Astyanax mexicanus: one gene and its partner. The protein of the gene in region 1 interacts with the protein of each later gene in a pairwise test. Links are inferred from orthologs where the notes say so. Each region holds a gene or a part of one and is shown on either strand. Other genes may lie near its edges. The genes, in order: cytoplasmic tyrosine-protein kinase BMX and ptpn21.

Region 1 (3,928 bases):
AACACTTCTGCATTATCTGTCACGATAACCGTTTTTGTTTAGACAACATTGTGTTCCAGACATAATTGCGATAAACAATGTCAACAGACAGTTCTTGTGGAAACAGGAGAGTCTGCCGTGATTTGAGCAGCCGTGGTTTTTATGTTTTTTGGATACAATCCGGGTTAGCACCCGAACATCCCTTTCAGACAGCTTCCTCTTGCATCCACAGTTAATCCTGTTGGATGTGGTTTGTTCTTCTTGGTGGTATGTTGACATTACCCTGGATACCATGGCTCTTGATGCATCACAAAGACTTGCTGTCTCGGTCACAGATTCGCCAGCAAGACGTGCACCAACAATTTGTCCTCTTTTGAACTCTGGTATGTAACTCATAATGTTGTGTGCTTTGCAATATTTTGAGCAGAACTGTGCTCTTACCCTGCTAATTGAACCTTCACACTCTGCTCTTACTGGTGCAATGTGCAATTAATGAAGATTGGCCACCAGGCTGCTCCAATTTAGCCATGAAACCTCCCACGTTAAAATGACAGGTGTTTCAGTTTCACTGTCCAACCCCTGTATAATGACAATGTAATTGATTCCATCCTAAAAATTACTCCAAACATAAAAACTAACAAGAATGAGTGCCAGTAACAGGAGTAAGTTCCAGTAACAGGAGTGAGTGCCAGTACCATGAGTGATTACCAGTAACAGGAATGAATGCCATTAACAGGAGTGATTTTTTTTTTTGTCATAAATATCAAATAATTGAACATGCAGGCTATCATTTCACATGAGTTTGGTAACGAACTTCAGTTTAGAAACCTTTTAAAAAATTAAGTAGCTTTCAGCTTTTAAGTAAAGCTGAGTTTGACCAGTGCATGTTTTGAATAGTTAAACACAGTTGTTATTAGATTCAGAGTTGGAAAAAAGATACAAAAAATAATTTTAATTTGGAAGAGTTGCAAGCATTTTTTTTTTCTTTTTTCTTTACTTAGCATACCTATGTATTCCTCTGATGGACCTGTGTAGGTATGTGGTTTCATACAAAGGAAGTTAGTGTTTGTTCTGAATAGTGTCAGGGTCATGCAAATACATTAAGCAAACAGTGCCCTGCTGCCACACAGAGGCCTTTGTGAAGCAGCACCTTCTTTTAACAGATATCAGGAAACTGCACCAGGCTTTTGCAGCTATAGTTTAATTCGGGACCCAAAAGGCCAGACGATCGTTTCTCAGCCGGCACAGGTATGATATTTACCGTTATAAAACCTTAATGTGATTTAATTTATTGTGAGACTTTATACCAATGATACACTGATGCTCCTAGTTGTGATAGTGGAAATATGCAGGGAATGTAAAACAGCAGTGTTTTCCTTTTTTCGTTTTTATTCTACTGAGCGTGGTGTTTTGTGTTAAGTATGGTCAATCGGGGGTTGTATACTGCTTAATACTGTTTTCTCAGGTTATGACAGTTAGAGGTAGAGGTGCACACAGCTGAAAGGATGTTGATGTTTTGCTTAATTGCACGTAATAAAGCAATCATTCTCTATGCTGCTATAAACATTGTTGTAAAGCACTCTAACAACAAAGTTTTATTAGTAGTGTGTCTTATTCTCTGTGTGTCTCTGTGTGATTCTCTGGTGCCTGTGTCCAGTTGTCCTGATGAGCGAAGAAGGGGTGGTTAAAGAAGGCATCCTGCTGAAGATGTCTCAGCAGAAGAAGAAAATCTCACCCAAAAACTATAAGGAGCGGCTCTTCATACTGACCAATAAGACTCTGAGTTACTACGAACATGAAAAGGGGGTATGGCTTTTCATTGCATTTTTTCAGGCTTATTAGTTCATAAATATAGAATAGGAAAGGAGCAGATTGTTGTTTACAGTTAAGCCCTTCAAGGCCTATTCACACTAAATCCCTACCTGGACAGGATTAGTTTCTCAGGGGGTCCTGAGGCAATTTTCTCTTTGTAGGTGGTTCGCTATGATTTTATACCCATCCGGAACGACCATGTATGTGTTTTTCTCAGACGTCCTCTAAGAAAATTACAGGCTGAATTATCTACTGTTTTTCGTTACGGTGTTTCATCAGCTTGCGTTTAATAAAATAGCTATTTGTTCACTGCCACGCACCATAATTACACTTTGGGCGTGCGTTTCCACGGAGAAAAAGCAAACACAAAAGCAAATGAAAATAGAGGAGCTACTGAAAACGATGTCATGTGACCGAGAAAGCCAAAAAACTCACAGGTCCTACAGTTTTTTCAATTGCAGTCTGGATGCTAAATTTGTAAAAGTAAAAGTGTGAAATATTTTTTTTCATAGACGTCCCCCAGAGGAAATAATCCCGTCCAGATAGGGCTTAAGTAAGGTTTTTATTCCTTAAGTAGGATTTTAATCCTATGGCATAGTGTTGCCTTACTCTATTAACCATACTCTATTTTTTATTTATTTATTATTTATTGAATTACTTATTTGTTGATTTGCTTGTCCGCTTATTTATTTGTCTTTAATATAACAGTACATGGCATATATACTACTTACTAATTCTACTAAATATCCACTACTAATTAAATAAATTACAAATAAAATGCTTCTCTGGTAAACTTTTGTTTACATTCCTCCCCTGACTTTCTGTTGTGCTCAGCGTGAGTTTCTGCTTGTTCTTGTTTTCCCGTCCATTCTAGGGCTCCCTATCTCCTTATAAGGGCGTATTTTCTTGGCCGTGTCCCAATTCACTAGCCGGGGCAGCGGTAGTGTATTGGACCTTAACCCTGACGACACGGGTTCAATCCCGTGTGAGGAGTATTGTGTTTATTTATTTATTTTTCCTTTCTTCTTTTTTTGTTTACCTGCTTTGAATTCAACCGTTCTGCAATTGGGTTCAACAACCCTCTGGGCTGGAGAGCTACTAGTCTGTAGCATTCCATCCTATTACACATCATACAAGCCATATAATGGCTTGGAAAATATCTGTCCAGTGGCCAAACTTAATTGCAGACCCCTGGCTAATGTTACAAGTAAAATGCTGACTATAATAAAGCAGGGATTAAATATATATTTCTGTTCCAGTTGATTTGGTTGGAAACAACACAAACCGACTTGTTATAAATGCTTTTTTATTTATTTTTTACTTCTGTCTTCCTGTTGCCAATTATTTTTCCAGTTACTACAAAACACATTAAGAAATAGTACATTTAATATAATAAAGAGATATTTTTATCCAGTAGATGTTTCAGTAGCATATACTTATCTGATATTTCCCAGATTTATTTATTAAAATTCCACCAATATCATTCCCACTGATAAATACAAACTCGTGGTGGAAATTATGTGCAATCATTTTCTAAAATGTTTCTGACATGACTTGAAAGCAGCATAAGCACAGCATAGCAAAAGGAAGATGTGGCAGGAAGACTTACAACTGTTCTGTTATTTGTTCCGCTGTCTGGTGTCATCAAGGAAAGGAGGGTTCTCCTTATGAGTTTTGGTTCCTTCTAAGGTTTTTCCCCTCTCAGTCTGAGGAAGAATTTAATTGCTACTTTATGCTTTATGCAGGGGGTAAGATAATATTTTTGAATTTAATGCATATGCATGAATATTTATTCAGACAAGCCTTTTTGTGTGTATTTTTTTTTTCAATGCATTATTGTGTGCTTTTTCTCATTGTTGCAGAAGCGGAAGGCAAAGAAGGGAGTGGTGGCAGCAGAGAAAATTTGCTGTGTGGAGATAGTTGAGCCTGAAGACAATGCACCTGCACAGAGAGAGTTTCCCTTTCAGGTTTTAGTCATTAACACACACATATTCACACTTACATGATTCCTTATAATTTGTGCATGAACAAAAATATGGTGTTAGTATATCATGATGCAACAGCGACTAATTATCTGGGCAATACACTAGGTTAGCCATTTAGCTCAAACCTGCAAACTATAGCTAATAGTTGGGTT
Region 2 (3,928 bases), on another chromosome or scaffold:
TTTACACAAACACGCAGTGTTTGTGCCTCTCCCGGCGTTCACAGACACGTGATTAAGAGCGCTGCGTGTGTTGTGTGGACACGGTTTGAGTAGAAATCCCGGCAGGTTTACTCAGTGAGAAGAGCTAGATCCGCGGATGAATCCGTGTAGGAGATTTCTGGAGTCCAGCCGGTGTTCTGTCGAGTTATGCCACCCTGTCAAACTATGCTACCCCAGTGATATTTAAAGATAAAATGCCAGAAAAAGCCCAGTATTTAAACATGTTTCTGTTGGGTATTTGGAATGCTTGATTCAATAGATCAGGATACAGTTTAAAGTTAATAGGGGCAATTATAACCCGCATTTTTTTCATTGTCCAGTTATTGTTTCTTTTATTATTATAAACTGTCATAAATAAATGAATACATATGTCTATTTTTCAAAATATATAAGTGATTATCGATTATGATTTTAGGTTCTCATATATCAACTTTTTTAATTTGTAAAAAGTTTTTACATTTGTAAACAGACAGACAGCACCATTGCGCGAGCTATAATTTCCTCTAAAAAAAATTCTTCAACTTTTTTTCTTTTAAACTAATAGTAAGCAGACTTCTTCAAGCTTACATGCAGCTTTTATATTTAACACAGTGAAAACATAACTTTCTTTATTTCAATTAAAGAAAAGTTTAAAATATGTACATCACTGCAACATACAATAGATTCCTTCTGCTATACTATAAAATATTGTGCTATATTACTTTATACTATATTACTATATTTTGCTATATTACTAAAAAAATATTACTTAAAAAAGGATTGATGCATTTCGATGCACATTTCGATGGGTAGCACAACTCGACAGAACACCGGAAATGAAGTAGCTATGGCAGCCGCAGCCAGTGTGACCTGGGAGCAGTAGGAGTCTAACATGCGGGGTTTTACACAAACTTTCAGCAGCTCTGGACTCTATTCGCAGCTCCTCAGCCGTCTAAAAACTCGACCCGGAGTGTGAGTTCAATGCTGGCCCACGGCGGGACGTGTGTGCGGTAAGAGCTGGTAGTGTTAGACTCCGTTAGTGAACACCAGCACACTTTAAATGCAGCGTTAGTTTAGCTAAGCTAGCTGTTAGTGCGCTCAGCCATTACTCTGGTCGGCTAGCTCAGAATTAACTAGCTTCGACAGGATTTAAGGTGGATTTTGGGGGATGAGAAGTTAATCTTTAGACCACAGAGATCAGGGCGAGCACTTTATTCATCGCAAATAAAAGTTTGTTCTGCTCTAGAAAGCGCTGAACAGTGTTGGGTCACGCTCAGACCTATGGAGCGAGTTTGTTTTCGCTGTTCCCGTGATTCAGAGTGACTACAGGCTCAGCCACTTGTTGATATGCGTCTGTTAGCCAGGGTTAGCCGAGGTTAGCTAGCTGTCGGACTTCTTAAACCAACTTAATTTAACTTACCTTTATGACAAAAATACTATCATTATATATTTCTGGAAGCTTGAGAGTCCCTGTGAAATTAACTAGCAAACTTATATTTAGATTTTAAAACCCAGTAAAGCGCCCAAAACATTTCCAGCAACAGAGATGAGAACCAAGAATATATTAATATGATTAATAAAAGAAAAATGAGTGGTCTAACTGCACAGAGTAACGACTATAAAAACACTGTTTTAGTAAGTTTACAGCAAGAGAATTTTTTGAAACATGGAAGAATAATGTAAGTAGAAAAGAGTTACATAGTTGTATATATGACCCATTTGTATGCCTCACTGTTTTAGACATAGATATGCCGTGCAACATTATATAAAAGATAAATAAACACATACATACATTCATAAATAATAAGGTAACGTTATAGTATGAAAACGTGTAATATTTAATAAAGGTAAAATGCATTCTAAATACATATGTTTTAGGGCTGGGCAATATTGTAAAAAAAAAAAAAAAAAAAAAACAATAATTTTCAAATATGAATGATTTTTGGATTCTGATGTTAGGTTTGTATATAATAACTTTCCTTTAATTTCAATTTCAACTTTTTATTTTAACCTAATAGTAAGCAGGCCCCTTCAAGCTTACATGCAGCTTTTATATTTAACACATTTCACACCCTTTATTCCAGTTAAAGAACAGTTTAAAATATGTACATCACTGCAGCATAAAATAGTTCCTTACATGTTTCTGACAGAAGCACATGTCTGTATAAAGACAGCTCTGGAAAAATAAGAGATCACTTAATGAGGATGTTTTTTCTTGATTTTACCAAATTGAAGACCTCTGGAATATAATCAAGAGGGAGATGGGTGATCACAGTCATCAAACCAGCTGAACTACTTGAAGTTTTCCAAAAGCAGTTTGTAAGACTGGTGGAGGAGAATATGCCAAGATGCATGGAAACTATTATTAAAAAACAGGGTTATTGCACCAAATATTGATTTCTGAACTCATGTATATGAACTTGTTTTCTTTGCATTTTTTGAATTCTGAAAGCTCTGCATCTTTTTGTTATTTCAGCCATTTCTCATTTTCTGCAAATAAATGCTGTAAATGACAATATTTTTATTTGAAAAAAAAATCAGAGAAACTGATCCAGAAACTGAAGTGGGCTCTTATTTTGCAGAGCTATAGATCTAACTAAATATTTGGCTAAGGTAGGTTAACTATGTATGAATATGTGCTGTGAAAGGGTAGTGATGGCAGATAACAAACATACTGTAAATACCTCTCCCTCTCTCAGTCTCTGACATTCTTAACCTAGATGCGGGTTATCTGGCTAATAGGTTAAATGCTCATTTTGTTTGTGTCCCTCATCAAAGACAGGTATTTTTCTTTCTATGTGGCTCTCTCTTGTGCTACAATAAAAATCCACCCCGTGCAACATTTCATGATTTGCCTTTAGCACAGTTATTGAGCAAGAATGTTAACATAGATGTGAGTTTGAATGTGAAAAACTTGCTGCATTTTTCATTGCTATTTTTCCTCATGTCAGGAATAATATTAGCCTTGTATATAGTTCTGTCGTTTTGTTTTCTGCAGTAATCTATAATGTGCAGTAGTAGTAACTTTTTATCTACTACGCTCTATTGTAAGAAATCCAATATCTATCTGTAGGCATCCAGTGTGCATTTTAATAGATCTTTTAAAAAAGATTGGTTCAGATGACAGACTCCTTAAAGAAGAGAGATGTGATTTGAATTAATGTAATTTCAGTAATATTTGGTTGTTGCTTGCTTGCCTGTGTTATTCTTTATTAAATCAATTATTGTGATCAGGGTAAGTGTGTCGCTATAATCAATTATTCTTTTAACTATATATTTGTGGAGGTCAGGTCAAAATATTATGGGATAGGTCAGTAACGTGTAGTTACTGTGACTGGCCAAGACCAGGGATGTATTTATATTGGCTGATGCCAGTGCCAGATGTTTTTTTTCTGTACATATGTCAATACATTATACATATAAGTTAGACATATATAACATATTTAAGAAGAGTGTGGATAAATCCACTTGGCTTGCAAAATGTATGTGCAGATGGTTACAATTTTATAAAAATACAAATAAAGTAATTTTTCTGATGCCTGTAAAATATTGATATTATTATACATCTTTAGAGGTGATGCTCACCTGGGCATGCAGTTTTAGGCGAGTTTATAGTTGACAGTAACAGTGGTGCTGAAATGCATTAAGGAGGTGCATATGAGAACATGTGTTCAGTAACTTCATTCAGTCCCGCTACTGCTCTACTAACTGAGACTACACTCTTACACATATATGTGAATGTGTATATTGTATCTATTTTTGTGGATATTATTGACCAGTTCCTGCTGTACTAAATATCATGAAAGTCTGTACCCATAGGAATGCCTTCTAACCTATTTTGCCCTGATTACCTTTTTCCCTCCAGTGATCCATGTAATTGCCTTATGGAGTTTGGCACACAGTTCGTTGC

The links.
Region 2: the proteins of cytoplasmic tyrosine-protein kinase BMX (region 1) and ptpn21 interact in binary tests that used the Homo sapiens proteins (3 or more experiments, as listed by UniProt). The link is inferred for Astyanax mexicanus from reciprocal best matches to the Homo sapiens genes BMX and PTPN21.

The regions. Positions count from the first base shown.
Region 1 is NC_064430.1:16,759,833-16,763,760, forward strand, and holds the start of cytoplasmic tyrosine-protein kinase BMX, read left to right. Parts: upstream 1-1,148; 5' UTR 1,149-1,227; intron 1,228-1,636; 5' UTR 1,637-1,644; coding exon 1,645-1,785; intron 1,786-3,653; coding exon 3,654-3,758; intron 3,759-3,928. UniProt on the Homo sapiens protein: Non-receptor tyrosine kinase that plays central but diverse modulatory roles in various signaling processes involved in the regulation of actin reorganization, cell migration, cell proliferation and survival, cell adhesion, and apoptosis.
Region 2 is NC_064421.1:15,928,609-15,932,536, reverse strand, and holds the start of ptpn21 (tyrosine-protein phosphatase non-receptor type 21), read left to right. Parts: upstream 1-856; 5' UTR 857-1,028; intron 1,029-3,883; 5' UTR 3,884-3,928.